3 linked regions of the Tamandua tetradactyla genome follow. The protein of the gene in region 2 interacts with the protein of the main gene of each other region in a pairwise test. Links are inferred from orthologs where the notes say so. Each region holds a gene or a part of one and is shown on either strand. Other genes may lie near its edges. The genes, in order: MYBPC1, FHL1 and AKAP12.

What was found.
Region 1: the proteins of FHL1 (region 2) and MYBPC1 interact in a two-hybrid assay, tested with the Homo sapiens proteins (2 studies listed by BioGRID and IntAct). The link is inferred for Tamandua tetradactyla from reciprocal best matches to the Homo sapiens genes FHL1 and MYBPC1.
Region 3: the proteins of FHL1 (region 2) and AKAP12 interact in binary tests that used the Homo sapiens proteins (3 or more experiments, as listed by UniProt). The link is inferred for Tamandua tetradactyla from reciprocal best matches to the Homo sapiens genes FHL1 and AKAP12.

What each region holds. Positions count from the first base shown.
Region 1 is NC_135333.1:171,586,409-171,597,004, forward strand, and holds the start of MYBPC1 (myosin-binding protein C, slow-type), read left to right. Parts: upstream 1-5,860; 5' UTR 5,861-6,088; coding exon 6,089-6,113; intron 6,114-10,596. UniProt on the Homo sapiens protein: Thick filament-associated protein located in the crossbridge region of vertebrate striated muscle a bands. Slow skeletal protein that binds to both myosin and actin.
Region 2 is NC_135353.1:23,315,837-23,326,379, reverse strand, and holds the start of FHL1 (four and a half LIM domains protein 1), read left to right. Parts: upstream 1-6,000; 5' UTR 6,001-6,110; coding exon 6,111-6,132; intron 6,133-10,543.
Region 3 is NC_135328.1:142,873,628-142,883,324, forward strand, and holds the start of AKAP12 (A-kinase anchor protein 12), read left to right. Parts: upstream 1-5,758; 5' UTR 5,759-6,010; intron 6,011-6,347; 5' UTR 6,348-6,494; coding exon 6,495-6,623; intron 6,624-9,697. UniProt on the Homo sapiens protein: Anchoring protein that mediates the subcellular compartmentation of protein kinase A (PKA) and protein kinase C (PKC).

The sequences.
Region 1 (10,596 bases), on a different chromosome or scaffold from region 2:
AGGATTTTTGCATCTATATTCATTAGAGAGATTGGTCTGTAGTTTTCTTTTTTTGTAATATCTTTGCCTGGTTTTGGTATGAGGGTGATGTTGGCTTCATAGAATGAATTAGATAGTTTTCCCTCCACTTCGATTTTTTTGAAGAGTTTGAGGAGAGTTGGTACTAATTCTTTCTGGAATGTTTGATAGAATTCACATGTGAAGCCGTCTGGTCCTGGACTTTTCTTTTTAGGAAGCTTTTGAATGACTAATTCAATTTCTTTACTTGTGATTGGTTTGTTGGGGTCATCTATTTCTTCTTGAGTCAAAGTTGGTTGTTCATGTCTTTCCAGGAACCCGTCCATTTCATCTAAATTGTTGTATTTATTAGCGTAAAGTTGTTCATAGTATCCTGTTATTACCTCCTTTATTTCTGTGCGGTCAGTAGTTATGTCTCCTCTTCCATTTCTGATCTTATTTATTTGCATCCTCTCTCTTCTTCTTTTTGTCAATCTTGCTAAGGGCCCATCAATCTTATTGATTTTCTCATGGAACCAACTTCTGGTCTTATTGATTTTCTCTATTGTTTTCATGTTTTCAATTTCATTTATTTCTGCTCTAATCTTTGTTATTTCTTTCCTTTTGCTTGCTTTGGGATTAGTTTGCTGTTTTTTCTCCAGTTCTTCCAAGTGGACAGTTAATTCCTGCATTTTTGCCTTTTCTTCTTTTCTGATATAGGCATTTAGGGCAATAAATTTCCCTCTTAGCACTGCCTTTGCTGCGTCCCATAAGTTTTGATATGTTGTGTTTTCGTTTTCATTTGCCTCGAGGTATTTACTAATTTCTCTTGCAATTTCTTCTTTGACCCACTCGTTGTTTAAGAGTGTGTTGTTGAGCCTCCACATATTTGTGAATTTTCTGGCCCTCCGCCTATTATTGATTTCTAACTTCATTCCTTTTTGATCCGAGAAAGTGTTGTGTATGATTTCAATCTTTTTAAATTTGTTAAGACTTGCTTTGTGACCCAGCATATGGTCTATCTTTGAGAATGATCCATGAGCACTTGAGAAAAAGGTGTATCCTGCTGTTGTGGGATGTAATGTCCTATAAATGTCTATTAAGTCTAGCTCCTTTATAGTAATATTCAGATTCTCTATTTCTTTATTGATCCTCTGTCTAGATGTTCTGTCCATTGATGAGAGTGGTGAATTGAAGTCTCCAACTATTACGGTATATGTGTCTATTTCCCTTTTCAGTGTTTGCAGTGTATTCCTCACATATTTAGGGGCATTCAGTTCGGTGCATAAATATTTATGATTGTTATGTCTTCTTGTTTAATTGTTCCTTTTATTAGTAGATAGTGTCCTTCTTTGTCTCTTTTAACTGTTTTACATTTGAAGTCTAATTTGTGGGATATTAGTATAGCCACTCCTGCTCTTTTCTGGTTGTTATTTGCATGAAATATCTTTTCCCAACCTTTCACTTTCAACCTATGTTTATCTTTGGGTCTAAGATGTGTTTCCTGTAGACAGCATACAGAAGGATCCTGTTTTTCAATCCATTCTGCCAGTCTATGTCTTTTGATTGGGGAATTCAGTCCATTAACATTTAGTGTTATTAATGTTTGGATAATATTTTCCTCTACCATTTTGCCTTTTGTATTATGTACATCATATCTGATTTTCCTTCTTTCTACACTCCTCTCCATACCTCTCTCTTCTGTCTTTTCGTATCTGACTCTAGTGCTCCCTTTAATATTTCTTGCAGAGCTGGTCTCTTAGTCACAAATTCTCTCAATGACTTTTTGTCTGAGAATGTTTTAATTTCTCCCTCATTTTTGAATGACAATTTTGCTGGATATAGAAGTCTTTGTTGGCAGTTTTTCTCTTTTAGTAATTTAAATATATCATCCCACTGTCTTCTAGCTTCCATGGTTTCTGCTGAGAAATCTACACATAGTCTTATTGGGTTTCCCTTGTATGTGATGGATTGTTTTTCTCTTGCTGCTTTCAAGATCCTCTCTTTCTCTTTGACCTCTGACATTCTAACTCGTAAGTGTCTTGGAGAACGCCTATTTGGGTCTATTCTCTTTGGGGTGCGCTGCACTTCTTGGATCTGTAATTTTAGGTCTTTCATAAGAGTTGGGAAATTTTCAGTGATAATTTCTTCCATTAGTTTTTCTCCTCCTTTTCCCTTCTCTTCTCCTTCTGGGACACCCACAACACGTATATTTGTGCCGTTCAAATTGTCCTTCAGTTCCCTGATCCCCTGTTCAAATTTTTCCATTCTTTTCCCTATAGTTTCTGTTTGTTTTTGGACTTCGGATGTTCCATCCTCCAAATCACTAATTCTATCTTCTGTCTCTTTAAATCTATCATTGTAGGTATCCATTGTTTTTTCCATCTTTTCTACTTTGTCCTTCACTTCCATAAGTTCTGTGATTTGTTTTTTCAGTTTTTCTATTTTTTCTTTTTGTTCAACCCATGTCTTCTTCATGTCCTCCCTCAATTTATCGATTTCGTTTTTGAAGAGGTTTTCCATTTCTGTTCGTATATTCAGCATTAGTTGTCTCAGCTCCTGTATCTCATTTGAACTATTGGTTTGTTCCTTTGACTGGGTCATATTTTCAATTTTCTGAGCATGATCCGTTATCTTCTGCTGGCGTCTGGGCATTTAGTCAGATTTCCCTGGGTGTTGGACCCAACAGGTTGAAAGATTTTTCTGTGAAATCTCTGGGTTCTGTTTTTCTTATCCTGCCCAGTAGGTGGCGCTCGTGGCACTCGTTTGTCTGCGTGTCCCACCAGTAAAAGGTGCTGTGGGTCCTTTAGCTTTGGAAAACTCTCGCCGTGGGGAAGGTTCGCCAGCCGAAGCAGCTTGGAAGAGTGCCAATCCCAATCTCCCAGCCAGCCCGGGGATCCAAACGCGGGGAGGGTTGCCGGCCGCCCCAGCCCAGGAGAGCGCCCGTCCGAATCTCCTAGCCGGCCCGGGGCGCCAAGCATGACGGGAGGGCGCCAGCTCCCGCAGCCCGGGGGAGTGCACCGTTCCCAGCCGGACCAGGAAGCCACGTGTTTGGAAGGGACCCCGGTCACCATTCTCCGCGGCCTGGGGATCTCCGATTCAATTCTCCCAGTTGGTCCAGGGGGCCGCGCGTGGGGGGGGGTGCCAGCCGCTGCGGCTTGAGGGGACCGCCTGCCCAATTCTCCCAGCCGGCCCGGGAAGGAGGGAGGGAGGGCCTCCGGCCGCCTGCCGCTCCGGCCCGGGGAAGCCCGCGCCCCTCGGCGATCTCACCGGAGCGGGTTCTCCCAGCCAGTCAGCCATTCCAGAATGGGGCACGCTGTCTTTTTGATCTCTGTTTGGCTCCAGGAGCTGTTCTGTATCATTTCTACTCCCCTAGTAGCTGTTCTGGAGGAAGAATTAGCCAACACAACCCGACTCCTCCGCTAGCTGCAATCTGACCGCGTTGATCTTCCTCTTTTATTTAGTTTTGGTGCTTCTAGTTTGCAAGCACAATTCTTCGTGAAGGAAAAGTATCTTAAAGCCAAATAAAGTGAAGTTACTGACTTGAAGGGCAGGTACTCTTAGAAATTTTGTTCTTGTTTGCAAGCTATTTCGTGATTTCATCTTCGACTTTGCCTGTTCTTCTCGCCTGAATACGTTATATACTTTTGCACCCAACTATAGAGTAGCCCACAATCACAGTCCACAAACTTTAAAATCAAAACCAAATAGGGCTTAAGCTATGCCGAAGAATTGTGCTCAACCCTTCTAGTGGCTGGCGGGGATCACACAGTGAAATATGACGAGCTAGCAGGAAAGCAGGATCCGTGGCACGTAAGTTACAGAATTTAGGAAAAACATAACGCCGGCTCTGCATACTAAAACTCACTGAGAACATGCAGTTCGCTACGACTCTTCAAAGTGTGAATAGCGTGTTTACTGAATTGATTCATCAGAGGGAGCAGTTTCCCAGATCGCCTGACCCTACGTCCCCTTTCCTCTTCTCAAATTCCCATGCCTTTTCCTCAAAATCCTTTCCTGCCGGCCAACAGAAACTTGCTTGGCACAACGTCTTCACCTATACTGAGTCTTCAGTTTCTTGCAGGAAGTACAAATCCAAGCGGTGAAGAAAGCCAGCGCGTCCCGAGATGGTCCCAAAGGCTCCTGAAAGTGCAAGACCTGAGGAGGCATCTGACTCTAAGGGGACGCCTTAAAATGGCGCAATTTGAAACAAAATCCTTGGCTATTCCGATAAATCAGCAAGCACCCTCCGCACAAGTTTCGGTCGTTACCCTGCCGGGGTCGCCACCAAACCAGAGAAGCCGCCCTTGAGGATACAGAACACCACGTGACCCTCTACCCGAGCGCGACGCGGACCCCACGCCACTCAGCATGAATCCTGTACTGCAGATCCCCTCAGGGCGGGACCCTTCACAGGCAGCCTCCCAGCACCAACCCCCTCGCACCAGCTCGGCTCACGCGCACCCAGACACCCCCTGCTAGTTTTTTAAAGGACATGTCTTGATAAAAGGTAAATGCGTAGTATTCCATAATAGAAACCTTCACTATGTTTGGAGGAGAAAATAAGACAACATATTCAATGTGGAAATTTGACTTGGCACTTGACATATTAATAAAAAATAAGATGTAAATATAATAAAGTTCAAAAATAAAATCCAATAATTAAGACCCGATAAAGATGAAGAGCTAATGAGAGCATAAAAATTATCTGAAAGATATTTTTTACTTTCTAATCTTAGCAGAATTAAGGTATATGTTGATTTAGCATATCCTGATTTGTAATTTACTTTAGTTTTTTTTAATAAAAGGATATTTATTCTTTGTGTTTATTGGTTTCATAAAAGTACCATCATTAACTTAATGATGCCTCTATGCCTACATATTTAGATTGTTTCTATTTTGCTACCATAGTATTCAATCTGATAATCATCTTTGAAAATCTGTTTTTCTCAATTACCAATTGTTTCCTTAGGTTACAATACAGAAGTGGAATTAACTGGATCAAAAACTCTTGGTAAGTATTGCCAATTGACAAGCAAGAAATTTATATCAAGCTAAGCTCTCACTAACAATCTAAAAAGACTGCCCCACTCATTTCATTTTTCCTGTTTTGACCACTTCCTCGGTCTTTGCTGAGACTGGTAAAATATGTACTTACATGTATATGAGTGTGTATGTGTGTATATAGTGTCATTTCTTTTGTTTTTATGATAAATTCTGAAATTAAATGTTTTTAAAACATTCTACATACTACTTAATATTCATATTTATATATTATTCACATGTACAAACATTCAGATACTCTCATCTGTGCTTTATGCCAGCTTAGTGTCGTTTAATGTTCTTTTTTCTAACCAACATTTTATGTATCAAGATATGACTGCATTTTTCTTTTATGACTGCATTTTTTTTGTCCTATATATCGCAAATATTTTCCCAGCATCTTTTTTCCTATTTTCTGGTTTTCCAGTGTAAATTATTTTGGTCAAGTTTTCAGAAATAGCCTAGTTACAAGCAAATTTAATTTTTCAATCAAGAACCCATGTCAATTAAAGATCACTTAGGTATTCTGGCTACCATATAAAGGGGATAAATATTTTGACAAATACTACTTGAGCATCCAAGTTTTATAATTTATTCGCGTTTTAGGAATGGACCCACCTGTGTGATATCTGATTTGCTTTAATGTTTACCACCGAGCAAGCTTTTTGCCCTCCTGAGCCGGCATATGCACGCGTCAGGCAGAAAGAGAGGAACAAGAGGAGCACGAGGCTGCAGCTGAATTTAGAAAGTCAGAGGTGCTCGCATCAGCCACATGAGATGGACAGGAGATTCCTTCCAGTAGGCATGAGAGCAGAGCGCAGACAACAGATGTGGGAAAAGTCCTCGTGGCCATAAAGCCCCAGCATCTTCCCTCTGCAGGAGGGGAGGTGCCAACGTGATTGACATCCCGAGGCAGGATAAAAGCCCGGGGTTTGCCCCCCACTGCTTGTCACCCTGACCAACACCATCTCTCCGCCGCTCGTGGGGTTTCTGTCAACTAGCACTGCAGGGGAGAAAACGCTTTGGAAAATAACATTTACTTGTGGCCATGCCAGAGCCCACTGCGAAAGAGGGTAAGACTCATCCGTAAATCTTTTTGTTGTACTTTTTAATAAAGTTTGTTTATTTGTTGTTTTTGAACCAACATCCATTGTTTTTAGACAGAATATATAATGTCAATCCACTGATTTAAAGAAAAGTTCCTTTAGAGTAAAAAGGACAGAGGAAATACATAGGAAGAGTGTAAGCAACTAAAAAAGTTTATCTAATTATATTTTATGCAGGGATACTGACAAAAATTATCAAATTAGAATTTTATCATTCAATCTCAAGGGATCCTTAAAGTGTAATTTCAGGATGTTAATTGACAACAGTGAGCAGGTTGCATTTTAAAGCAAATTTTCTGAGGTTCAATCAGAAAATTTTCACCATGTGTTTGCAATGTTGGGGAGGGAACTTGGAAAGTTTCCTTACATGTTTAATAAATTTGATCAAGATTTCATAAAGGAATTTGTGACAATATTTCAGGATTTGTTGTATTTTTTCATGGAAAGACATTTAAAACATACAGATGCATGATTTTTTTTGCTTTTGTCAGTGTTTTTAGAGCTTCGGTTATTAAATACTTGCCTGGGAAGAAAATCAAACAGCTGGGTGGGTAAAAGAGAATACTTCTGGATATCACTGATAAATTATGTTCTTTCAGAAGTTTTCTGAAGATAATTTCATAATATGTAAACTTTTAAAAATAATTATGTATAAAACATGGACATAGTCTTCATTAGAAGAATATTTCCTCCAATAAAAAAGTTTCTCCTTTCTATAAGAAAAAGATTTGAATGGTATTTTAAAACTAACAAATAAATTAGAATTAGTCGTTACTAAAATTACTAATGGAAATCCCAAATTAATAGCACAAGTATATTAAGCGTTTTTTCGAATGGAAATATCTTAAAGCAATGTCATTTTATTCTCATTAGTTTTCATTAGTATTCTCTGAGCTTTTATTTTTCATTCCTGCAACTGAAAGCACACACAAAGATGAACAGAGGACGTGAAAGTAGTATTTAGTGTTTCAGCTTTGTTTTTGATCTTCAAAAATTATTTCTAGCCATTATTTTGAAGATCATTGACAAAGATGCTACACACTGAGCTCAAATTTGAAACAGTAACCAAATTATCAAAAGCCTTTTTAGTGTATTTTCTTTATGGAATTAAGTAACCAGTGTTGACAGGCTATGGTGATCGGTTTACACATTGGCTTTACTTAGCGGCCGAGGCCACTGGCAGATGAAGTCTTCTACCCAAAATAACCGCACCAAATGTGGGCATTAATAGGGGGACTTAATCCCGACTCCAGCCCCTGCTGAAGTGCCTTATTTGCAATGCAAATGATTTACTTATCTATCCAAGTGTCCGTCTCATTTGATCTGTCACTTGACTAGCCTCTTTAAGACTTACTTGGTTTGGGTGCAATGAACTCTGTTTCCTCACCAAGGGACACACTATTGTTTCAGTTATCCTGAATTTAGTGGACGATTCTGCATTTGTCATTTTAAAGCCCAATTGAAAATGACAAGAAAGCTGAAGACCTAATAAAAAGGTGACAGGCTGTGGAGCCTATAAAGCTAATTGAATTATTCTCACTGCTAGATGCTATGAAGTTTTACTTTTGCCTGACGCTTGAATCTGATCCATTCTACTTTTAGAAAGAATGACATTTTAGAGCTACAAAGTGAAATATATACCTTTAACTTTGGGTCCCCAATATATATTTCTTTTCCTTTTGGATAAATTGACATGGATACCAGTCTCTATTACCTTCTTTGCTATAATAGCACGGTTGACACACTGTGTACGAGTCCCTTTTCCCCCCTTGTCCCCCCACTCCCACCCAAGGACAGTAATTTTATACCCATAGATTCTTTCATTAGTTTAAATTTGGATGGTGGGGAGTAGGGGTAAATATATATATACTGATATATTTAAATTTCTTTGAGAAAGTGCAGGGATTTTTGTTGCCTTACCAGAATAAGTAATTCATGAAGGAATAAAACTTTGAAGACATTTCCTGATGAAATTGCATTTTGCTGTTGTTTCCATGAGAAGAGTAAGGAATATGGCAATATGGAGTTGACTCTCCTGGCCCTTGCTGTGACTTTTCACTGGGATTGGTTTTGGTCTTTAGAAGCATCCTTCAAAACCCAGCCCCAAGAATAAGACAAGCCACCAGACCAGTCCTTCAGGGTCATTTGAAATGACCTGCAGAAACCAGAAGCACCTGGCAACTTCTCAAAAGAGGCTGGGTTTTCATCCCTGAAGGTGAAGGTGGGCAGACTGCCGGCCTACAGTGCTCTAGTTCTAGGAGCTTTGCGTTGGGTCTTGGGAGTGCTGCTCCCTCTAAGGGGGGAGGAAGGACAGGCACCATTTTGGTCCTCCAGGATAAAGCCTAACAATTAGTCACCAGCCCTTTCTAAGGCTCTTGGAAATATTTTGGGAATCCCAGTAACATCTCCTGGAGGAAAAAAAAATGTTGTTTTTAGGGACCAGCCCCTTTCCATCCCCCTCCTCTCCGCCTTCCTCAATCGTGTAGTTATTCTTCGGAAAACTGTGATTTGTACTGTCAGTTCCAGAAAGAAAAACAGGCTTATCTTATACTTGGAATTCATGCAGACCTGAGGCCTGGTCAATTTAAGTTAGTCCAATCAAATGGTGTGAGAGAAGAGGGTCCGGGGGGAAGCTGCACTGTGGGAATCTCCCAGAGCGCCTTACTGATGCTTCGTTTATGCATCAACTGTTAATTGAGCAACCAACGCGCTGGCCGTGGGGCTTCGAAGATGCAGCCAGCACCGCCTCTCCCTGAAGCCCTCCGGCTCCATTGTCCCTGGGCTCTGCCACATAAAGGAGGCACCTTCTGCTCGAAATTCCTCTTTTCCTGTCAAAAAGTAATCTTATCAAAGTGAAATTTAAAAATTGCAATCGATTTCCTTCTGCGGTAGAATCGCTAATCGTTTAAAATCGTTTAAAATCGCTAATTGTTAAAAAATGCATTGCAGAGCCATGCAAATGCTCTGCAATGCATTTTTTTAAAAAAGGATTTTCTCAGAATTTTTCTCTCTGCAGTATATGGGGATTAAAACTGTAAAACCCAGTTCTTGAAAATACTTAGACAATCGTGAATTGTCACATACTACAGAACCCAGAGCATTTTTCTTCTAAAACCCTGAGCTGACATGAATTTCACTTTTTGTTCTGTGATATACCAGGCCCTGTTGCATTTTATGTATTAAACTCGTAGGGAGAAGGCAAAAAAAATTGGTGCCTATGGGCCATCCAAACCACCCTGGCAGAGTCAGCGTCCTTTCCTCATCTTCCATGTAAGATTCCTTCCTGAAAATTCAAAACGGTGGCAAAGCGTGGGCTCATTTATGACCATGAGTTTTGAGGGGCTCTCGGCTCATTCCAGAAATCACAGCCCTGGTGTTCTAGCGGGAGGCGCCTGCTGCCCCGGAGGGCGGCATCCACCGTCTTCTCCTCGCCGCCTTAGGTCTTTTCCAGCGCGGATAGGCGGGAGGGGGCCATCGAGAACGGTTTCTTTCCGGCCATGGGGGCTTCCCCCCTTTCTATATCTTTCCTTCTTGGTGGGCGGGGATCGACCTCACGCCCCCCTCCCGCGAGGCCCGGAACCCGTGCGAAGGCGGAGCGGCCGCCACTACCTTTCGCCTGGAGGCTGAGTCATGGGCAGAGAAGGGCCCCGCGGGGGGCGGGGGGCGGGGGGGGGCGGCCTGCCTGGGGTCCCTCCCCGCCCCCGCGTCCCACCTGCGCCACACCCACCGCCGGTCCCAAGCGCCAGCATTAATTTGTCTTCAGAACAGTTTTCTTTTATAGAGAATATCACTTTCATGCCAAATTGAGGAAATGCTAACAGTTTGTTTGGAGTTGGGGAATAGAATGGGGGAGGATGGCAGAGGTTTTATTTTCTCAAGGGCAACTGTTCTCCTCCTAGCTCCATTTAGGCCTAGTGGAGGATTTGGGTGAGGAAGAAAATGTATGCATGGATGCCACTATATGTACATGTATGTGCGTGTGTGTGAACACCGCTATACCGTTGTACTTCTATACGTGCCTGGGAAAAGCATCGCCGTGCTCTTTGGGAACTTTATGGCATAAATGTGAGCGCCCTGGTGTGAGGACTGCGCTGGGCAAGTGCACCCTGGAGGGCTCAGCGCTTGGCCGTGTCACTCCTTTTCAGTGACCTGCTTTTATGACTGCCCGTACTGCACCTGTTAGGAAGATAAATAAAGGACTGGCCAATTCTTTCCTCTCAAGCGTCCTAAATATATCGCCTTAAAAAACCTTTGGAAGACAAGATGTATCCTTGCTTCTCATCCAGAAAATCTAAAGAAGTCTCGCTCTCGTTTTCAGGCCCTGAAAGTCACAGCAATGAAGTCAGGGGTTAGGAGTTCACAGGACAGGACCAGCCCTGAGGTCAGGCTTTCTGGAGGGGCCAGGGCAGGGGAGAAAGGGAAAGAAGCACTTGCGAGCTGTTACCCTCTC
Region 2 (10,543 bases):
AATATTATAAGGAGAACTTCTAAGCTTACCTGGTCAATTGTGAAAATGAACATGTTTTCAGTGGAGTTACTATTTTCAGGGTGCTTTGCTCTTTTCAGGGTCTTATAGTTCCAGTATCTTATCTCATTTGGAACAGGGTCCCCCCTTTTTCATAGCCACCTTTTCCTTTGCTCTGCAATCCAGAGACCCTCTGGGAAAGAAGTCCAGGTTTATTTTCATTGGAATTTAGCATGATGAACTCACTACTCGTGGATTTGGGGGTGCTTCCCCATGTTATTGTTTAAATTTGTATGCCACGAATTGTGACATTTAAGCAGTGACTTTGCACAATTTGACTTGTCAGGAGGAAAAAGTACACTTCCCACCCTAAAGATTGACAGGAACATGAGATGGTTGAAGTTGTACTGGACTTTTTCTGGCAAGAGCACTTAGGACTAGAAATACTCTGGAGTGCTCAACATTGAATCACATCATATCATAGTGCATGACTAGGTGCCTTAATCTTGCAGTTGGAGTCAGTAGAAATTGTTGGCTGAGGGACTAGTAGCCCAACAAAATGATATTGAGAGAAAACTTGCAGCATATTAATTTATTAGTAATAGGCCTGAGGAGAAGAAGAATACTCTAAAAAAAATGAAGTTGAAATCGCTGATAAATCCACAAGACCCCAGATTGTTCTCATCCTTTTGTCTCTAGCCATGACTAATGGCCAGTAATCATCTCAGTAAGATTTCAACCATTTGGAAATTTCTTCAGTGAAAGAAAACTGTAACAAAGGGGGAGAAGGGCGACCAGAAGCCAAGCTGTGTACGAGGAACTCCTGAGATGTGGGCCAAGTGGGTCACTGAATTTGCTGTGTTTGAGTCTTAGGTTGCGCCACTTTGAATTTTTGAAGTCTGATCCTCCCAGTGGTGGTTTTGAGATAAAGAGTCGAGGATTGCATTGTATGATGAGAATCTCCACCAGTATAATTTCACTGCAACCTTACTGTTATCCCTGTTTCTCTCTCTGCTTGACAATTCAGGTTCCATTAAAGGTGGGGCATGGGAGTTAGTTATCGATGTATCAGAAGAACTTCATTATAAAGCCACAAATGAAGGTCCATATTCCCTACACCAGCTCTGCCTCCCAAATTCCCCATTATTTTCCTGGTCAGCCAGAATAAAAATCTCGGGACTCTTCAGCTCCTTCTTCTCCTATCCATCTAATCAGCCCTAGCATATCTGATGAAATTCCCTTCTAAGCTGCCTTCTTGCTTCCAGACTCTCCTCCTCCATACACCCTTCTTGTCCTTGCTTGCTTGCATTAGTCTTATCGCATTCTTCCCATGTGCTGATTTCACAAAGGCCCTCCGTGCACAGTCTTTCCCTTCCTTTCTAGCTGCTTCTTTATCCTATGTTTCTACCCCAACTAGACTGCATGCTGCTCTGTGAGCAGACCTATGTTCTTCTCCATACCTTGTTCTTAGAATGCCCACTGTCCCCCTTCTGTATGTTTTAAGTCTTAACCCATTGTTAAGGACCGGATCAAATGCCATCACATCCATGAAGTCTTTTCTGAACCCCCAAACTTGATATGATCTCTCCCTCTGATAAATTTAAATATATATTTTTTATTGATAAATCTTCACAAACATACATTCCATACATGGTATACAATCAGGGGCTCACAGCATCATCACATAGTTGTGTATTCATCACTATGATCATTTTTAGAACATTTGTATCACTCAAGAAAAAGAAATTAAAAAAAGAAGACCATACATCCCATACCCCTTACCTCTCCCTCTCATTGACCACTAGTATTGCAATCTACCCAATGTTTTGTACCCCTTATCCCCCCTATTATTTATGTTTTATCCATATTTTTTTACTCATCTGTCTATACCCTGGATAAAAGGAGCATCACACACAAGGTTTTTACAATCACATATTCACATTGTAAAAGCTATATCTTTATACAGTCATCTTCAAAAATCAAGGCTACTGGAACACAGCTCTACATTTTCAGGCATTTCCCTCCAGCCTCTCCATTACTTCTTAACTAACAAGGTGATATCTACTTAATGCGTAAGAATAACCTCCAGGATAACCTCTCGACTCTGTTTGAAATCTCTCAGCCACTGAAACTTTATTTTGTCTCATTCCTCTCTTCCCCCTTTTGGTCAAGAAGACTCTATCAATCCCATGATGCCTGTCCTGGTGAATCCTAGGAGTTCTGTCTCACACTGCTAGGGAGATTTACACCCCTGGGAACCATGTCCCACGTAGAGGAGGATGGCAGTGAGTTCACTTGCCATGTGGGTTTAAAGAGAGAGAGGCCACAACTGAGCAACAAAAGAGGTTCTCCGGAAGTGATTCTTTGGCCTAATTTTTTTTAATTAATTTTTAAATTTCTTTTAAAAAAACAACAGCAAACAGATGCACACACAAACGTTATTAACTTATGATCATTCTGTTCTACATTTATAATCAGTAATTCACAGTATCACCACATAGTTGCATATTCATCATCATGATAATTTCTTAGAACATTTGCATCGATTCAGAAAAAGAAAACAGAAAAAAATTCATACATACCATACCCTTTACACCTCCCTTTCATTGATCACTAGCATTTCAATCTAAATTTATTTTAACATTTGTTCCTCCTATTATTTATTTTTATTCCATATGTTTTACTCGTCTGTTGATTAGGTAGATAAAAGGAACATCAGACACAAGGTTTTCAAAATCACACAGTCATATTGTGAAAGCTATATCATTATACAATCATCTTCAAGAAACATGGCTAGTGGAACACAGCTCTACATTTTCAGGCAGTTCCCTCCACCCTCTTCATTACATCTTGAATAACAAGGTGATGTCTATTTAATGCGTAAGAATAACCTCCAGGATAACCTCTGGACTCTGTCTGGAATCTCTCAGCCATTGACACTTTATTTTGTCTCATTTCACTCTTCCCCCTTTTCGTCGAGAAGGTTTTCTCAGTTCCTTGATGCTGAGTCCCAGCTCATTCTAAGATTTCTGTCCCACGTTGCCAGGAAGGTCCACACCCCTGGGAGTCATGTCCCACGTAGTCCGGGGGAGGGTAGTGAGTTTGCTTGTCTTACGCCTAATTTTAAGTAGGCTTAGCCTATCCTTTGCAAGAATAAGTTTCATAGGGGTGAACCCCAAGATCCTCCCTCTAATAAATCTTGACCACTCTCTATATCAATCAGCTTTAAAGGAAGCACTGTGCCTTATTCTTTGTGACCAGCAAAATATCTTCCACACAGTAGATCATCTTTGTTCAATAAATGTTTGTCATCTAAAAGAAATAAATGGGTGGGGTGCCCTCATCTTCAGGGGGACCCCAAATATCTGCCACTGCAGAGTATTCAGACAGCAAGAATGTGTAGATAAACTCTGAAGTAAATGGGAACTTAGAGTTTTGGATGCTTAGCACTCACTAAAAATCATGATTATGCTAGGGTGTAAGGGCCTTAGAAAGCCTGAAATGGGGTCTTCAAACACAGAAGAGAATTATTCATCAAACACCAGCCAGCTCCCAGCAATAGTATATAAAAGTGCTTTGCAAACAGTACGGTGATTATTAAGGATATTATTAAATATCAGGCTGTTAATGTGTAACGAAGTTGGCTCTGATGTTAATGAAACCAGTGACTGTTCAGGTTTTTACTATCAACTAAATAGCCACTGACATTTCTGAACCACTGATCCAAGTCAGGACAAGAGTTATCAACTGTTCTGACTAAGAAATTGTTTTTAAAGTTGCAAAGGCAACAACACAAAGGCTTGTGGTCGTTGACTCATTAATAGCCCAGAAAGTAATTCTCTGGTAGCAGCGTTTCAGAGACTTTATCTGCTACCTTTACAGGGTTTACCCATAGTCTACGGTTGCTACTGCACTTGCTAAAAGAAAACACATCCTGATGCATAACTGGAAAGTAGAATTGACTACTTAAAAGAAAGTAACTTGGCACACTAAGCTTATTGTTCATGGTGAGCTACAGCGGGGGCATTTAAAAATACCTTGACTCTGCCTAAAAATAAACCTCACTAAAATCTAAAACGTAGGGTTCATGAAGGTTAATCATCTAATAAAATAAGAGCATTTCCACTAGGTGAAAAGTTTAAGTTTATTTTCAGGGTGTGGTATTGGTAAAACTGGCCAATCTCCCTGCTGTAATTTAACCAGCCTGGATAAGAGACTAGTAAAACTTTGGGGGAGTGGGCGGTGGGAGGGAACAACCGTGCCACTTCCCTTCTTTTCCCAGGCTTACTTTTTGACCTCAACGTGTAAGAACTTTGCCTGGAGCGTCTTGACTTTTATTGTCAGGTCGCTCTCCAGCTGACCAGGAGTTACCGACAACTTCGATAACTTCAGCTCTCTTTTAGAATAACTTTTCAGGAAACCTTTGAAGTGCCTGAGATTTATGCGCGTCCTTCACACATTTATTCCTGAAGTACTTATGATTCACCTACTGTAGGGCTGTGGGAAGACCCAGACAGGTAAAACCCAGCCTCAGCCCTCAGCTGGGGAGGTAGGGAAGATTATAAATAGGGCCAAAGCAGTGACATGCGCTATTAAACAAAACACAGTGTCTGTAAAAGGGGGTTGAGTCCAGGGTCTGTCCCGGAGTGAAGGGATTCGCCACCTTCCTCGAAGCTCAGCCACCAGAGCTACTTTCAGGATTTTAGGTGGGACTCTGCTTGGCCAAATGAACAGTTTTGCTTCTCTGAAGTCATTTTTTCAGCAGATTACGGAGGACCTCCTGGTTGTGGGGCAATATTTCCAGTGAATGCCCCCCACCAAACCCCTGCCCTCGTGGACCGGAGAGGAGAATCGGACAATGAGCAAGAGAAAAAAGTGCAGTTCTCTGTTCAGTTAGATTATCCTCCGTACTGTGGGGAATATCAAGTTGGGGGGGGGGGGGGTGCCAGAGAGAGTGTGTGGTGAGTTGAAATAGGCTGGGCAAAGAAGGCGCCATTGAAAAAGGGATTTGGGGCAAAGCTTTGGAGGAGGTAGAGGAGCAGCCACGACATGCTCTGGGCTGAGGGAAACAGTATTGGGATCCCAAGGCTGGGCGGCATGTGTGGAGAGTGCAGGGGACAGCAAGGATGCCCATGAGGTTGCAGCAAAAGAAACTAGGGCAAGGGAGGCAGGGGTGAGGCCAGAGAAGCCACGGAGGTGGGGAATGGGAGATGAGTGGCATGAAGGGACTTTATCATAAGGATATCCTAAGGACTTTGGCTTCTCTGGAACTGGTTCTTGATGACCAGTTTCCAGCCAGCTGATGGCTTGTCGAGCTGTTACAATATGTGAGGTTGCCGGGCCATTTTCATTTCCATTCATATAATCAGTTTCATTGTTCCTGACAGTGAGAAGGAGGAGGTTTTGTTTGTGGGACAAAGCATTGTCACTGTGTCTAAGGCAGGTGCGATGCAGGCCTTCTAGTCTGTTCCATTCTGTTCAATTCTGTCAGATGCGCAGGAGATTTTAGGGTGGCTAGAACTGCTCCCCTTTTCAAGAGGGGCTCTCTGGCACATGCCAAGAGGGATATAGAGTTAAGCATCTGCAATGCCCTCAGTCTCTATATTCATAATGTCGAATCCCCTTTAAATATGCTGGTAACAAGAATCTTTTTAGTTACTTTTTTTTCTAATTAACAACACAAAAGTGAATTATTTATAGGGCCAAATGCAAGCTCTTTAGGCATATAAAGTGGAATAATAAGGTTGGCTCGGTGTTAGGCTATGCCAGAGCCGAGTCCAAATTTTATTCCAGTACAGGGATGGCTTTTTATGTGGCCTCTCTGACTCTGGAGCTAATTTGGATGCTGAGTAGCCCTGCAGGTATTTATATGTAGTGTTTGGTATTTTTACTGGGTCCTATTCTTCTCCCTTGGATCACCTAAAATGGTTAAGAATTTTCTAGTGGGATTAAGGTTGTACTCTCCCGGGAGGGGTGGGACATCTGCTCTCGGTTATTTTTGTGTTAGCCGCTGCCCCTTAAATGTATGTTCACGAATGAGCCAGAGCCTTATCAGCTGGGGTGGAGAGAAGACTGGTCAGGTGCTGCTCCTGAGTGAACTTGGTCTCTGAGCAATGGCTTCCCATAGACACTCAGGTAAAAACATCAATATTCTTTGCCTTAAACCAAGCACAACTCTTTTAGGGCAGTGAATGCACCATTTGGCTTAAAGGTAATTTGGGCTTAAATGATTTTCGTCTTGTCTGAACAGTAAATAAGGCACAGCTTGTCTCTGTTTTGTCTTTACCTTCCAGTGCTATTTTGAAGACAGACGACTCCTCTTATTCAAGCAAACTTAGCAACTTCAGTGGTTTTTTTTAAAAAAGTATATAAGCCTCTTAATATGTGTTTTACCTTTTTCAGGACGTCTTACGAAGCTATAAGAGATAGTGTGAAGAGAGAAGGTTTGGGGGGTTAGGAATTTGGGGTTATTTATAAAACACGACCCTTCATCTTGACATTGCTTTAGATCTAATTTAAGTTGTTTGGAAGAGTTGAATAGAACATGGAGGTGGCAGGGGGGAATGTTTATATCTCAGTGTCCGTAACTTATGACTTGCTGCATCTTCCCGAAGAAACAGCTACGGACCCTGCAATAGGAGAAGTTTGTTATTGGTTGTTCTCAGAAAGAGAAGGCGACGTTTCGAACGTCCTAGGTCACGTCACCATGGGTCTTCCCCTTGTTTAGTAACCTGACTTGAAGAGAGCCCTCTGGCCATAGACAAGAAGTCCCTGGAAGAGGGGGCCGGAAGAGGGGGAGTTTTCCGGGAAAGCCCAGTTCTCTTGAAGTCAGCCTGCTGCCTGTCTCTCCCCAAAGCAGGAATGTTGCCGTTGCTTTGTTGCCTTCTGCCTGAGCAACGGTTCCCTTCCTTTGAACTGGGCAAGGATGACAAGTTCAGTAGAAACCAAGCCCTTCGTCCCTTCCCGAAGTTTTCACATCAAAGGGCAAAGTAAGCATTAGGAGGGTGGGGTGGGGCAGCATTTTGGACATGTTATTTTTGAAAATTGGTGATTGCCTGCCAATTTTTCAACTCTTTGGGAAATGGCTCTTTTTGGTGGGTCAAAGCAAGGAGGCTGCAGTGGAATTCTCCACTTGAGTTGCATTCATGTGCAAGATCTTCGTTGTTCCCAGGTGTTCCAAAGCTGGCTGGGTTTTTTTCACCCCTCCCCACTCCCCCAAGAAGCTGCTTTACAAGCAGTGCTGCATGCCTGAGATTGTGGTTATCAGCCAACTTACACATTCTCGGGGTGTAGGCAAACTGTTCAGCTGGACCATTTGTTCTAATGTACCTTGAGTGCATGATACATAGTGGAGCACCTCCCCACTTTATTTACTAAGTGGCAGAATAGGAAAATATAGTTAAAAGGTGACATATTTATAGCACATGCAATCCTGGGTTTTAAATTGCACCAAGTCCTCATGTTATTCCTGCTTATATAAATCTAGAGGCTGTAACTTAGCTGCATTAGACAAATAATTTATACCGTGTACATGCTTTTTTTAAATCAGGAAATGTCTGTTTGTATTGCATTAAGTGCATAGGTCCACGAAAGCAGACAAGAGAGGAAGAAAATCACCCGAAGAAAATCAGTGTTGCCCTGAAGTGGGCTTTCTATGGACAAAATACAAACTCAGATAATTGGATCGAAATCTATTTTTTCTCATCCATCCACATACTGAGAGAAAAATTCAAGAATAAACCTTTATACTTTTATTATGGAACACTGCCGATCTGCAAAATTATGGAAATTCAATTTCTTTGCCTTTTGGCCTTTGAAGTTGAGGAATGGGGTTGGGGGGGGGAATAAGATCGTTTGCCATATTCATCCAGTCATTAGTTCCCTTTACCAGTGCTGCCCAGTGGGGTCACACACCTGTCTGTCTTTTCTCAGGGCGAGGATGGAAAATGCAAGGTCGGGGTGAGAGGGCAGTAATCTAACCAGATCAGCTTCCTAAAATAACTGAAAACATGGTCGTCAGAAGATCTGGTCAAGGGTGAAACTGAAAGTTTTGTACTTGTAATGACCACCAAATGACCACCTGTCACTTCAGCACAACTAGAGAAACAAAAAACACATGTTCTCTTGCTTCTGGGTCCCAGGGGCCTTTTCTTCCCATGTGAAAGACAGAACATTTTGCATCTATACTATGCGTGTGCAACATTAAGAAAAGTTTCATATGCGGATAACATAGTACTAGAATAGATCCTGGCCTGGTAGAAGTTCAGTTGGTATGTGATTTCTAGTTTCACTATCTATATCCAGCTGTCCTGATAGCAGCTAAAATCTGAAACAGTGTTACTTATGTATATCAGTAACGTAGAAGAGATGTATGGTTTGCTTGTGTGGTTGGTTTTTTTGCTCAGTGCAATGTACAAGTGAACTTGCTGATAACACTGAATCATTTTGCACATGTTCTGTTTTTAAGGGAAAAAACACTTTCAGATTTTCTCTGAAATTCTGTGGGAGACTACTCTTCAGCCGTGACGCATGAACTCCACCTCATTGCAGCTATTTAGGTGTTATTCCCAAATGTCTGACGACACCTCCAGGTGCATTAGGCTGTCTACTACACAAGTGTCCTATTCATCAGCTAATGCTTCGTTCCATTTGTTGAATGTTCTCAGGAAAGCAGTATACCCCTTCTTTAGTAGCCAATGTTTATACATGGAGTGACTAATGTACTGGTATGTTGGACTTAGCAATTAACAGATTAGAAAGAATCTGAAACTTTTTTTTTTCCATTTGGGTTGCTGTTCATTGTTTACAGTGTACATTATAGCACTGAGAGAAAGCACATAGTTAGAAAAATACCACCCTAGACATACTATTCACATTTTCCTGAAATATTCTTATTTTGAGCTACTTGGGCAAGAGGGAAGAAAACTGAACATTTGCAAGCAATACATGAGAAACGTACACATAAAAGCACAAGGAAGACTTACTAAATACAACTTGAATTTTCTCTGATGAGAGGTTTATGGTGAAAAGCAACAAAAACAACAAAAAACGTTGCAATGTTATATTACTCCTATGTGTACGTGATTAAGTTGAGGGCCAGAACTTTTTATTGAGATACTGAGGATGATTTAAGCATCACTTAGTATGCTGGATGTTGCTCAGGAATTTTCTGAAAGGAAAAGCTTGTTTATTAAGTGAGGAATGATGTGTCTTTTGCAGCAGACATAGAGAGAAAGTCAGGCTACCATCTTAGAATAAATAATATAAATGTGATCACCCAGTCACACTTCTAACTGTATTCTAACTTACTAAGTTTATAAAGGATGGTAGGTTAGGTTCACATGAGCTGTCCCTGATTTTCTAAAACAGAAATCTTTGTTACAAACGGTATTGAATAAAAGAAGCTATAGAAGCCTAATGGTGGTGACTTCTTTTTACCTGTCAATCAACCGGCTCTGAGTGTATTTGTAGAATTTTCTGTGATAGAGAAACTTCTCTACTGTGTACAGATGAGGGCCACTAGGTGACTTAAAATGAGTTAGAGAGCTGCCTCAGGGCAGACATAGCTTCCACAAAGACAGGCAGTGAAGGGAAGTAGCCTTGTAATTACACTTATCCACTGTTTTGTTTCATGATTGATGACGTGCCCTCTTCCAGATAACAGCAACAGGTCAACGCAGACATATCTGGGAGTTTGGGAAGGTTAAAAGGCTTCATATTTCAGGGACTTAGAAATTGCTAAGGGATAAAGCAATTATTATTCCCTAAAAGACAAATGCCTAACTATATGTAATTCAGTAAAATTAAAGAGAGCCTAAGAGAAGAGGCAAAATGCTACTGTCATTTTTTCTCTATCCTTTTATTATTTCTAACAGAAGGAAACAGAGGAAAGTGCCAAGATTTTCTCTCTGCATGAAATCAAGGCCTAAACGTGGCTCATACTCTTTATCAAGCAAAGCCTACAAATCAGGATATTTGCTGTCTTTCAGGAACCTCTTAACCTCTGCCCTTCTCAGCTTTCTCATTTATGAACCATTTTCTTAGAGTTGTTAACCTCTTCAAAAATAAGTGGTAGCAAAATATTTTTGGTCTTGTGCACAAGCATCCGTATTTTATGCCTGGTATTGCCATGGTAACCATGTGTTCAGTAAGAATGTGTTACTCCAGCCTCATCCTAAGCACACCGCGTGAAGGTTTGAAATAGTTTTGGACTAAAGAATCAACAAAGTTAGAAAAACAGGAGGTGAGCTTATGCACAGTTGCCCAGAGTTCCACTTAATTAGATTTATTGCAAAAAAAAAAGTATTAAAGTTCATGAAATTGACATAGACATTGTTAACATGGTTTAAGTATTTCCAGCCTGTTTACTTATTAGGCAATGAAGCCAATGTTCCTAGAAGTGCTATTTTATCTTGACAAATAAGTGTTTCCACATACCCAAGAAAGGCTTAAGTCATCTGTCGAAATCAATTCTAAAGGAATATGCCCTTTTGAAATTTGTTTCTCCATCTGAATGCAGACTCTTTAAAGAGTTTGAGTGGACAGT
Region 3 (9,697 bases), on a different chromosome or scaffold from region 2:
TCACGCTATATATTATATATATACTTATGATGTTTTCAGCTTTTATCTTTTTAAAGTAGAGATGATTTTGCAAATGTGGTTTTATATGTTATTGTTGATATCTGATAATTAAATGCAAAATGAGTATCAATAGCCAAGTGTTGAATTAATATTGGTTTGAGAGTGTCCTAATTTTTATCATTTCATACATTTTGATTTGGGTCAATATCATGGCTATATGCAATTAAGATATACTTTTGAAAAAGCCATTTTTATACTGCTATAAAACAACATTTAAAGCACCTGACTATACTTTCCAGAATGTTTTTTCCCCCTTTGAATTGCCAAATTACTGCTGATGTCTCTTCTATCATATCGAAATTTGGGATGATGGCCAAAAATGCATCATTCTGAGCCAAAATAATAAATATTATATAAAGATAGTAAAACTTTTATTTCCTAAATCCTTCAGCAACCCTGACTAGCATAGGGATAATGAAGCTGGAGAGGCACATAACATAAGCGTAGGCTTATTAAATATGGAATGGAACTGCCTTCCTTTACTATTGTGACTCAAATGCTAGGTGACTTTTTATTCTTCTCTGGACTTCAAAGCCAGGATCTATGTATGCCTATATCGTGCATGTATCCCTAAATGTTTTCATTACAGAAAAAAAATTCCAATACATATTCATTATAGAATATTTAGAATGGCATATAAGCAAAAAAAAAAAAAAAAAAAAAGCAAAAACTATCCCTAAAATAAGGGAAAGCCCCCTATAACTGTTGATAAAGGCAACAATATGGATGAATCTCAAAATAATAATATTGCATTAAAAGAAGCTAGACAAAGAAGAGCATATATGAATGACTTCATTTATATAAAATTGTAGAAAATGCAAAGTAATCTATAATGACAGAAAACAGAACAGCGTTTCCCAGTGCTTGCCTGGGATGGCAGGGTGGGGCGGGCAGGAGGAGAGAGGGGGATTATAAGGGCACATGGGGAGACTTTTTGGGGTTCATGAAAATGTTTAGGATCTTGATTGTGGCAATGGCCTCAAGGAGCATACTCTGTCAAAACTCATCAAATTGTACGCTTTAGATATGTGCAGTTGCTTTTAGGTCAAGTAGACCTCCAGAAAATTTTTTAAAAATATTCTAAGGGACTATTGGTATCCTCTAAATGTGGAATTTCTTCTGTAAAATATTGCTTGAGAAACTGGGTATTATTTTTGCTATCAAGTTGTTTTACCCAGGAAAGAAAATAAAACCACCAAATAACCATAATTTCACATTCTGAAACAACCCTTGTTTCAAATTCTCCCTAAGAAAGTAAAATTCACCTATTTCACTCAGAGAATTCCATAGAAGTCTCTAGAGTGCAATAACATTAAAAACAACACACCCAATCCGTTCCACTTTCAAACCAAAGTTTTCATTGATTTGGGAGCTTAAGCAGTGGCAGACATCGGAGTCTCTTTCATGTGATTAATTATGTTCCCAATGAAGTTGTAATGAAGTAATGTGTTGAGAGGAGAGAGGGAAGGAGAAAGATGTCCAGTTTCACTATTGACTTCCTATTATTTATTCTGACTTACCACAGCGATCCCTCCTATAGATACTGTGATAGTGTATTTGTAGGAATGTCAAGAAATCATTAAAAATGAAAAAAAAAAAAAAACAGCAGCTAATAGAAATGAGGGCAGTCCCAAGGAATGCAAAAGTTCCCCAGTCTTAGGTAGGAGGTCTGTAAAATGGGATAAAATAATCGCTCTCTCTTGTGTAAGATTTTACTGACCCTTCTTCAGGTTAAGCACTGATCCTTTCATTGGATTCTTAATCACACATGAAATATATGAAAGCAATTTTTGATGTCAAAGACAGCAAATAGCAGATCTGAGATTTAAAATTCACAAAAAGATTCAAGTTAGTAAAGGAACATAAAAGTTCTCCATAATTTACAATGCATGTCTTTTTTTGGACAAGTAATGTTGACTTATGTAACCAAAGTTTCAGCTTTGAAAAATTCCAAGTATTTTCCCTGACAGTTAACTCAATAAAAGTTTGTTGAAAAAAATATTATTAAAATATTGAGAAATTTGTTGTATACTTGCAGGACTCTTCAAAGAATTTATGAAGGGATTTGAAACTGTGCAGATTATGAGAATTTGATCTACACTGCGGTGTCATTAACTTCCAGACACCTCTAAGTGCCTTCCCAAAATCATCCTAAGAGAGTCTCTCTCCATATTGGGCAAATTAGTTACTATATCTTGGTTCTTGTCATACGTAGATGGAAAGCAGCCCAACTAGAGAAAAACAAGGAGCCAAAGGTATGCTGGTTTATTGGTCACTGTATTTCACTTGTATTTATCTCTATTTACTTTGTTTAGGTGCATCTTGAGCAAAGGATGTGTTCAAGCTGCAGCCATACCCAATTATTTTTCTGTGAATAATTGCTCCTATAATGGCTTCCATGGTGCCTGAAAAATACAGATGAAAAAATTGACTTTCTCTCTACTCCCCTCCTCTTTTTCCCATTACTTTAGAGGAATCTTGGATTTGAGTCAGGAGCCAATCTTAAGTATTGGTAAATGAAAGTGATATACAAATAGTAGGCTTTGTATTTAACCACAAAACAATGATTTTCTGTCTCTCTCTAAATATATATATATATATATATAGTCAGAGAGACAGACAGATGACTTTCACCTGTAAATTGAACTTTCAGTGGTTTGTTCCCATATAAATGCTGAGATTATTATTTACTCGAATGCAGAAATTTGTTAATTCTTTCAGTTTTTTTTAGTTTATAATTAACAAATAAAAGAGAGAAGAGTATGAGTTGGGTTCTTAGATGACTGGATAGTGTCATAAAAATAATTGGCACAGGAGGAGTAAGCTTTTTATATAGGGAAAACAAAGAAGTGATAAGTGGGCGTTCGAGGGTGAAAGCTGGCAGTTCTAAGTGAAATTGCCTAGTAGAGAATGAATCTGCCAGGCAGAGTTGTGTGGCTTTTAAATTCTGTTTTATTCATTACAGTTATTATTGCTCTTTAAAGAGGGGTGTGTTAACCCAGCTGTGAAATGTTTCACATGTGTGAATTCCTTTAATGCTATATTTGAAAATGTTTTGGTATGTGCACGAGACACCCAGGCATGACTCGGAGTTTTACTGGTAAATCTCATGTGGTCTGTATTTCTGGAGAAGTTAGCATGAGAAGCACAAGTTCAGCCTGCTTTACAGGCAATGCGTGTTTGTTTTTGAGAAATCTCAAACTGTTTTTGTGAGTGTGCTAACCCTCTCAGGGAAACGGGCTCCACCACCAACTGCCCCGTGGGGAAAGACACGTCACGGCACCTGCATCCTGCTGTTTGGAGGAGAAAGACAGGGCTGCAGGTGCAAAATGGGGTAACCAAGAGCTTTGGACTGAGAAGAGTCAAACAGAGCAGGTGTTTTCCCCTATATCACGGACCCCAATCTGAACAATTCCGAAGGCATCTCTTGACCCTAAAAATAAAACTTGGTAATGTCATATAGCGCCTTGATCCAGAAGGCAGTAACTTTGTGCTTAGTATATAATAGGCACTCAATAAATGCACGCTGGAAGAATGAATTGAACAAGCTTTTTAACGTTCTAAAGCATTAAGCATATTCGAAAGATTGGGATGTCTCATTACTAGGGATAATAATATAAGCACGTTTCTCAACAAAATAAACTCATCCAGAAAATCCCCTTTGAACCCCAGTGTTCATATAGCATTATTCACAGTTGTCAAAAAGTAGAAGCAACCCAAGTGTCGTTGACAGATCGAGCTTAAGTGGCACATCCATACAATGGAATATTATTTGGCCTGAAAAAGGGATGAAGTTCTGATACTTGCAACAACATGGATGAACCTGGAAGACTTGTTGAATGAAATAAACCAGACAGAAAAAGACAAATATTGTATGATCTCATTTACATGAAATATCTACAATAGGCAAATTCATAGAGACAGAAAGTAGTTTATAGGTTTCCAGGGGCTGCTGGGGCTGGGGGCTGGGGAAAATGTTTGGGTTGAAAAAGTTTTAGTAATGGATGGTGGTGATAGTAGCACAATATCTTGAATGCAATTAATACCACTGAATTATACACATGATAGCGGTTAAAATAGGAAATTTTGTGTTGCTTGTTACCACAATAACCATTAAAAAAAAAAAAAGTAACTTCACAGTCTACAAATAAGATGAGAAGCAGTCTTTGGTCAGCCCCCAAACCAAAGGCAGTATGTGTGTGGTTGTGTCAATCTATGAAAAAAGCCTGCTATTCTTAATAGTCCCTTAATCAAGAAGCTCTTTCAGGCCGAATACAGAATAGGAGAATGTGCATGTTTTTTAAACTAATATTTTGCTTTTTAAAAGTCAGAATATGAGTTTTTTTTCCCCCCCTCATCCTGGAATGGAGACACAAAGCAAGCAGTTGCTAATCTAAACAGACCTGCAGTGTCTCCTGCAGCATGGGGGTGGGATAAGATCGCTTGAAATCTTTTTGACCTTGGAATACTTTCTGAAAATTTAAAGGCTAGTAGATGTGAAAAGCGTTGTTAAGAATTTCCCAAGAACTGAATAAATACTATCTCACAGGACGGGAAAATTTTGATAGCATTTGTGCTACTTACTGATACATTCTCCTATGTGCTGATATTCATTGTTCTCAAATAGGCTTTCACAGCCTTTTTAGTGCTTGCCATCCTAAATGAGATCGGAAGACCTCTCCTTGCTAGCATCCCTGGGCAGGAGACAGAGAACACATTTGAAAGCTGCTTATGGAGGGGGAATGAAGTATTGTGCAGTGGTTAAGGGTGAGCTTTGAAGTCAGAGACCTGCGTGGACTCTGATCTCCCATCGGTAGCTGTGGGATTTTGAGCACATGCCATCATTTCTCTGGGCCTCTGTTTCCTATTTCCTCATTGGTAAATTGAGAATAATATGTTCACTTCATTGGGTTTTTGTAAGGAATAAAGGTGGCTTATATGCAAAGTGCTTTGAACAGTTGCTAGGACAGAATAAGCACTCAAATATTTACAGAACAGTCACAATTTTAGTAAAAATGGGTGAAATGCTTATAAATCCCCAAGACCAAGCATTTTGCAAATATATTGTTTCCTAAGTGATCAATTCCACATAAACTGGCATTTGTGTACCCCTTCAAATAAGAACAATTAATTCAGAAAACAAATTTTATGCTGGTTAAATAGTTGATAATGATCCCCAAAGTGTCATTAAAATACCTGCAAATAATCAGGCACAAAATAGCCCGATGCTGAACTGCCCCTTACATCAGTGGTCTACTGTAGTTGTACACTTTTGGAATATTGGCACTAGACACCAAATAAATATCCTATATTCCAAAAGTCTTAATTTTTAATGCATGATTTTATTGGTGAAAACGAAGGCATTCAGTTGCCAGTGAGAACTGGGATAATTTTTGTCTGTCAGCCCCACTACTCCATGCTTATATGCCAAATATTCCAGCCTAAAAATTTCATTGAGTTCAAATATTTAGGGACTGTTAGCTATGTTCATATAATAAATATTAAACTCAGGAGTCTGAAGAGGGAAAAATAAGCCTCATCCGTGGAGAACTACCGATGGTATCGAACAGAATTTTGCCAGTCACGTCTCAGTATCATCTGATGGAACAGTGGCCTGGAGGGGTGATTTCAGCCTCGGGCGCTGGGAGGCTGGGCGCTTTTGCGGTGATAGCCTCACTCCCTACATTCCCCCAGGAAGGAGGGCGGCTGTGCTGTTCACCGGCTCGGCTGCTTCACTCGTTCTGGACGGTGGGAGAGTGTGGGCCGCTTGGCCCACCCCGCCGTGGCTTGCCTCCATCAACCCCCTCCGTTCCTTTCGCCGGCCCTAATATGGTCCGACTCCGGAGGAACAAGGAGTGCTAGCCTTTCTCCTGCTGATGAGGAAGAGGCAGGTACAAAACCCAATCTGAAGGAAAGCAAATGAGGATTTGGCCTCGCTTCTGAGAGATTTGTAAGTCCGCCGCAACAGAAGCCCCCCGCCTTGGGTGATCCATCATTTAACAGAAGCCACCGAACCCAGTGTACCCGGAGGCTTTCTACGTTCCCCCTTTCTTGCTTTTCCCTCCCCTTCTGCAACACTTGTGTCTTGGCAGCCCCTGTCCCTTTTCGCGACTCGAGGCGTCCCGGGGTCGGGCGGGCTGCGCCCCGGATCCTGGCAGCCGGGGTGGGGAGATGCTGCGGCTGCAGGGCGTGGCTGGGCTGTGCTCATGTGACAGGCCAGGGGAAAACAAGGGGCGGAGTGGAGGAGGCAAAGAGGTGGCTCTTTTTTTTTTCTTTTTTCTTTTAAGGAGTTTGCGGGAGCGCGTCGGCCTCATTCGCTGCGCAGCTCGTCGGGAGAGGAAGGCGGGAGAGAAGGCGCGTCTGGGTGCGGGTTCCTGCGTCCCGGCACTTTGGGAAGGCGCGCAGCAGTCGGCGCGGAGAGCCGCGGGAGAGCCATGGGCGCAGGCAGCTCCACGGAGCAGCGCAGCCCGGAGCAGCCCGAGGCGGGGGTCGAGACGCCGGCCGAGCCCGAGCCCAGCGCGCTCGCGGACTCCGCGGTCGCTGCTGCAGATACCGCCACTAAGGTACGAGACCCGGCCACCTGCTGGGTGGCGGAGGGGGGAGGGGTCCCTCGTGGTGCCACGCACGACAACTTGGCGGTCCGACCAACTTGATTTCAGACTCGTGAGCACCGACCCCTAAATGGGCTTTTCGGGTCCCCCGCGCTGGGGTGGGACCGAACAGCAGCGCGCGCGGTGGGGGTTGGCGCCTTTGTCGTGGGTCTCCAGGGAAGGCGACTGCGCCATCCGTAGTGACAGAGTGCGCCCCGTGTCCCTCCCTCGCCCTGCTCCACTCTCCCGCTAAGACAGACGAGCCACGAGTGCATCCGTGGAGATCGACCCAGGCTGGGCATCTTGAGCCCCTACTCCTTCTCAGATGCCAAAATGAGCAGGTGGCCTGGCCCTGGGCTGGACCTGGCGACGGGCCCCACCCTGCTCCTCCCTCGTGCTGCCCTTGACAGCATCTGCGTCTGGAGCGCAGGGAGTCGTACCCTGTCCTCCTGCGCCATCTACGCCCGAAGCGCTCTGGGCTGCCCCGGCTGGGTACCGGGTTCTTCTGCAGTAGCCGCGCCCTGAATATCCCGGGTCCGCACTGGATCCCGCCTGGCGTCGGTACCCAGCCCTGCGGCATCTGCGCCTAAACACCCGGTGTGGGTCCTCGGTTCTCCTGCGGCAGCCGCGCGAGCAGACACCGCCTCCCTGTTGCGGAGAAGAACGGGCGGTGCAGCACGTTCGGGGCCAGACAACCTGGGCAGATGCTCGGTTTCTAGAAGGAATAACAGGTTTTGCAAACAAGGCAGCGCCCTCCCTCTCCCTCGGGTCGTTGCCTGTGGACTCAATTGGATAAACAAATACTGGAATACTAGTTGGAAGTTGTCAGAGGAAGTGGTCAGGGGCGTTAGCAGGCATTCTCTGTATTTCTTATGGAGGCTGAGCTGAACCTCGGATGCCCCAGAAATACTGCTATTAGTTTTAAGTCTCCGCCCGCCGAGATTGTGACTTGGCCTGGTGTCTGTGTTTCAGATCGATTTTCCAGCGCATGCGTTTACTAACAAGGTTTCATCCCCACCGGTTTTGGGATATCCTTATAGGAAGATGTACACGACCATATCTAATGTAAAAACCCTGTGTCCAATTTAAGGACTGAAACTACTTGAGGGCCTTCAGGAGTTATCTCAGGGGGTGTAGATGTTTACAAAGTGAAAAAATACCGAAGTCTAGGTAAATGTCATGGAATTCTGCCTTCATTGTCTTGTCCCCTTTGGCTGTCCTAGTCTACTTTAGGCTGAAAATCTGCTCTTCATCCCTTGGTTTACCTCGTTAACTCATAACTGCTTTGTGAAATCCATGGCCCCTAGAGGGGTAGATACTAATATGAACTAACTGTGCATGGGATATGTAGATTTTCTAAGAGGTGCCAGAGCTTTGGGCCTAAGGAAAGCACTGTTCTTTTGGTGACTAAATGATGTCTTCATATTGTTGTACATCACTTTTGATGCCAGCTTCTGTCAAAATGGCTGCATAACCAGTGTTTAAATTCCAGTGGGGAAGGTAATTTTAAGCTTCATTTTCAGATTGGGAAGCACTTTTCTTTTGAGCTTTTATTATCCCTTTGGATTTTCTTAATTGTTCACCCTGGAACTTGGTTCTTAATCTCTTCCCAATAAACTTGGATTCTTCTGTTTTAAATACTCCTTCCATTCCCTTCTCTTTGTCCTCCTTTAGTGCTCTTTCTTCTCCCTCTTTCTTAGTCACTGACATCCTGAAATAGTCAGTGACATCTTTAAAATTATTCTAGTGACATCCAGAATAGCATTGAACTTGGTTGGCATACTGCCCAGTTATCAATTTGGAGCCAAATCAATACACTTACATATATCCTTGGAATATGTGCAGGTTTTCATTTCAACTTGCAGAATTTATTACTTAGGTTTTGAAGACCTGTGTTTTCTCAGAAGGGCGCCCCAATTAAGAATGACTCAGCCTCCCTTCTAGCCCCTGTGAAACTCCATCTCCTGACTTCTGAATAGTCACACCTGTCCCTTTGGGCTCTCATGGCGCCTTGGGAGTGATCCCAGTTACTGGTTTGATAACTGGACCGGGAAGTGTTCCACCACTCTTCTGGGACAGCTACCACGAAGCCAGGGGCCACATCTGGCTTTGCTCACAACAGGTGTGCCCCTGGGTAGCAAGCTGCTGGTATGTTGTAGTTTCTCAGTAAATATCTGTGGAAAGAAGAAGAGGATGGCGTTTTAACTTCCTAGGCTGCTCCAGCAAATACCATGTAATGAGTGGCTTAAACAAAGGGAATGTATTAGCTTACAGTTTTGAGGCTGGGAAAATGTCCAGCATTAAGACAGTGTTTCTTCCCAAAGAACAGTGCTGATAATCCTTGGCTGGTCTGCCACAGGGCAAGGCACATGGAGGTGTCTACGGGTCCCCCTTCTCTTCTGGGTTTCCATGCTTTCAGATTCTTGCTTTCTGTGGCTTTTTTCCTCTGTCTGACTTTCATTCTCTTGTAAAAGACTCCAGTAAAAGGATTAAGACCCATTCTGATGGAGGTGGGCCCCACCTTAACTGAAGTAGCCTTATCAGAAGGTCCTATGACAATGGGTGCACACCCACAGGAATGGATTCACTTTAAGATGTTTTGCTGGGGTACATACGATAATGACTCAGTTTTGATTGGAGACTAGCAAAATGGGGAACATTTTGGCTATCTCCTTTTTTACAATTTTTAATCTTTGACCACCCCACTATCATACTCAACCTCTAGATCAGGTACATTTTTTGACAAAAATAGCCAAATTTGGGGACTTAGGTTTCTGTTTTCTCTAGCAGTTCTGTGGCTTGTTAGGGTTGCAATTTCGGATTGCCTTTAATCTCAAATAGACAAAGATAAGATATTAAATTCAAGTAGTTCAAATGAGACTACTTCATATATTGAATTTGGTTAGAAATTGCATCTTGAGCTTTCTTGTTTGGATCTCTGGGCAGGGTTGGCTCTAGGGAGGTTTGGCTAATAGATTAATTTTTCCTCCCTGGATAGAATGCTTATCACAATTTAAGGGTGTTCAAATTTTTTTCTGCCTATGTTA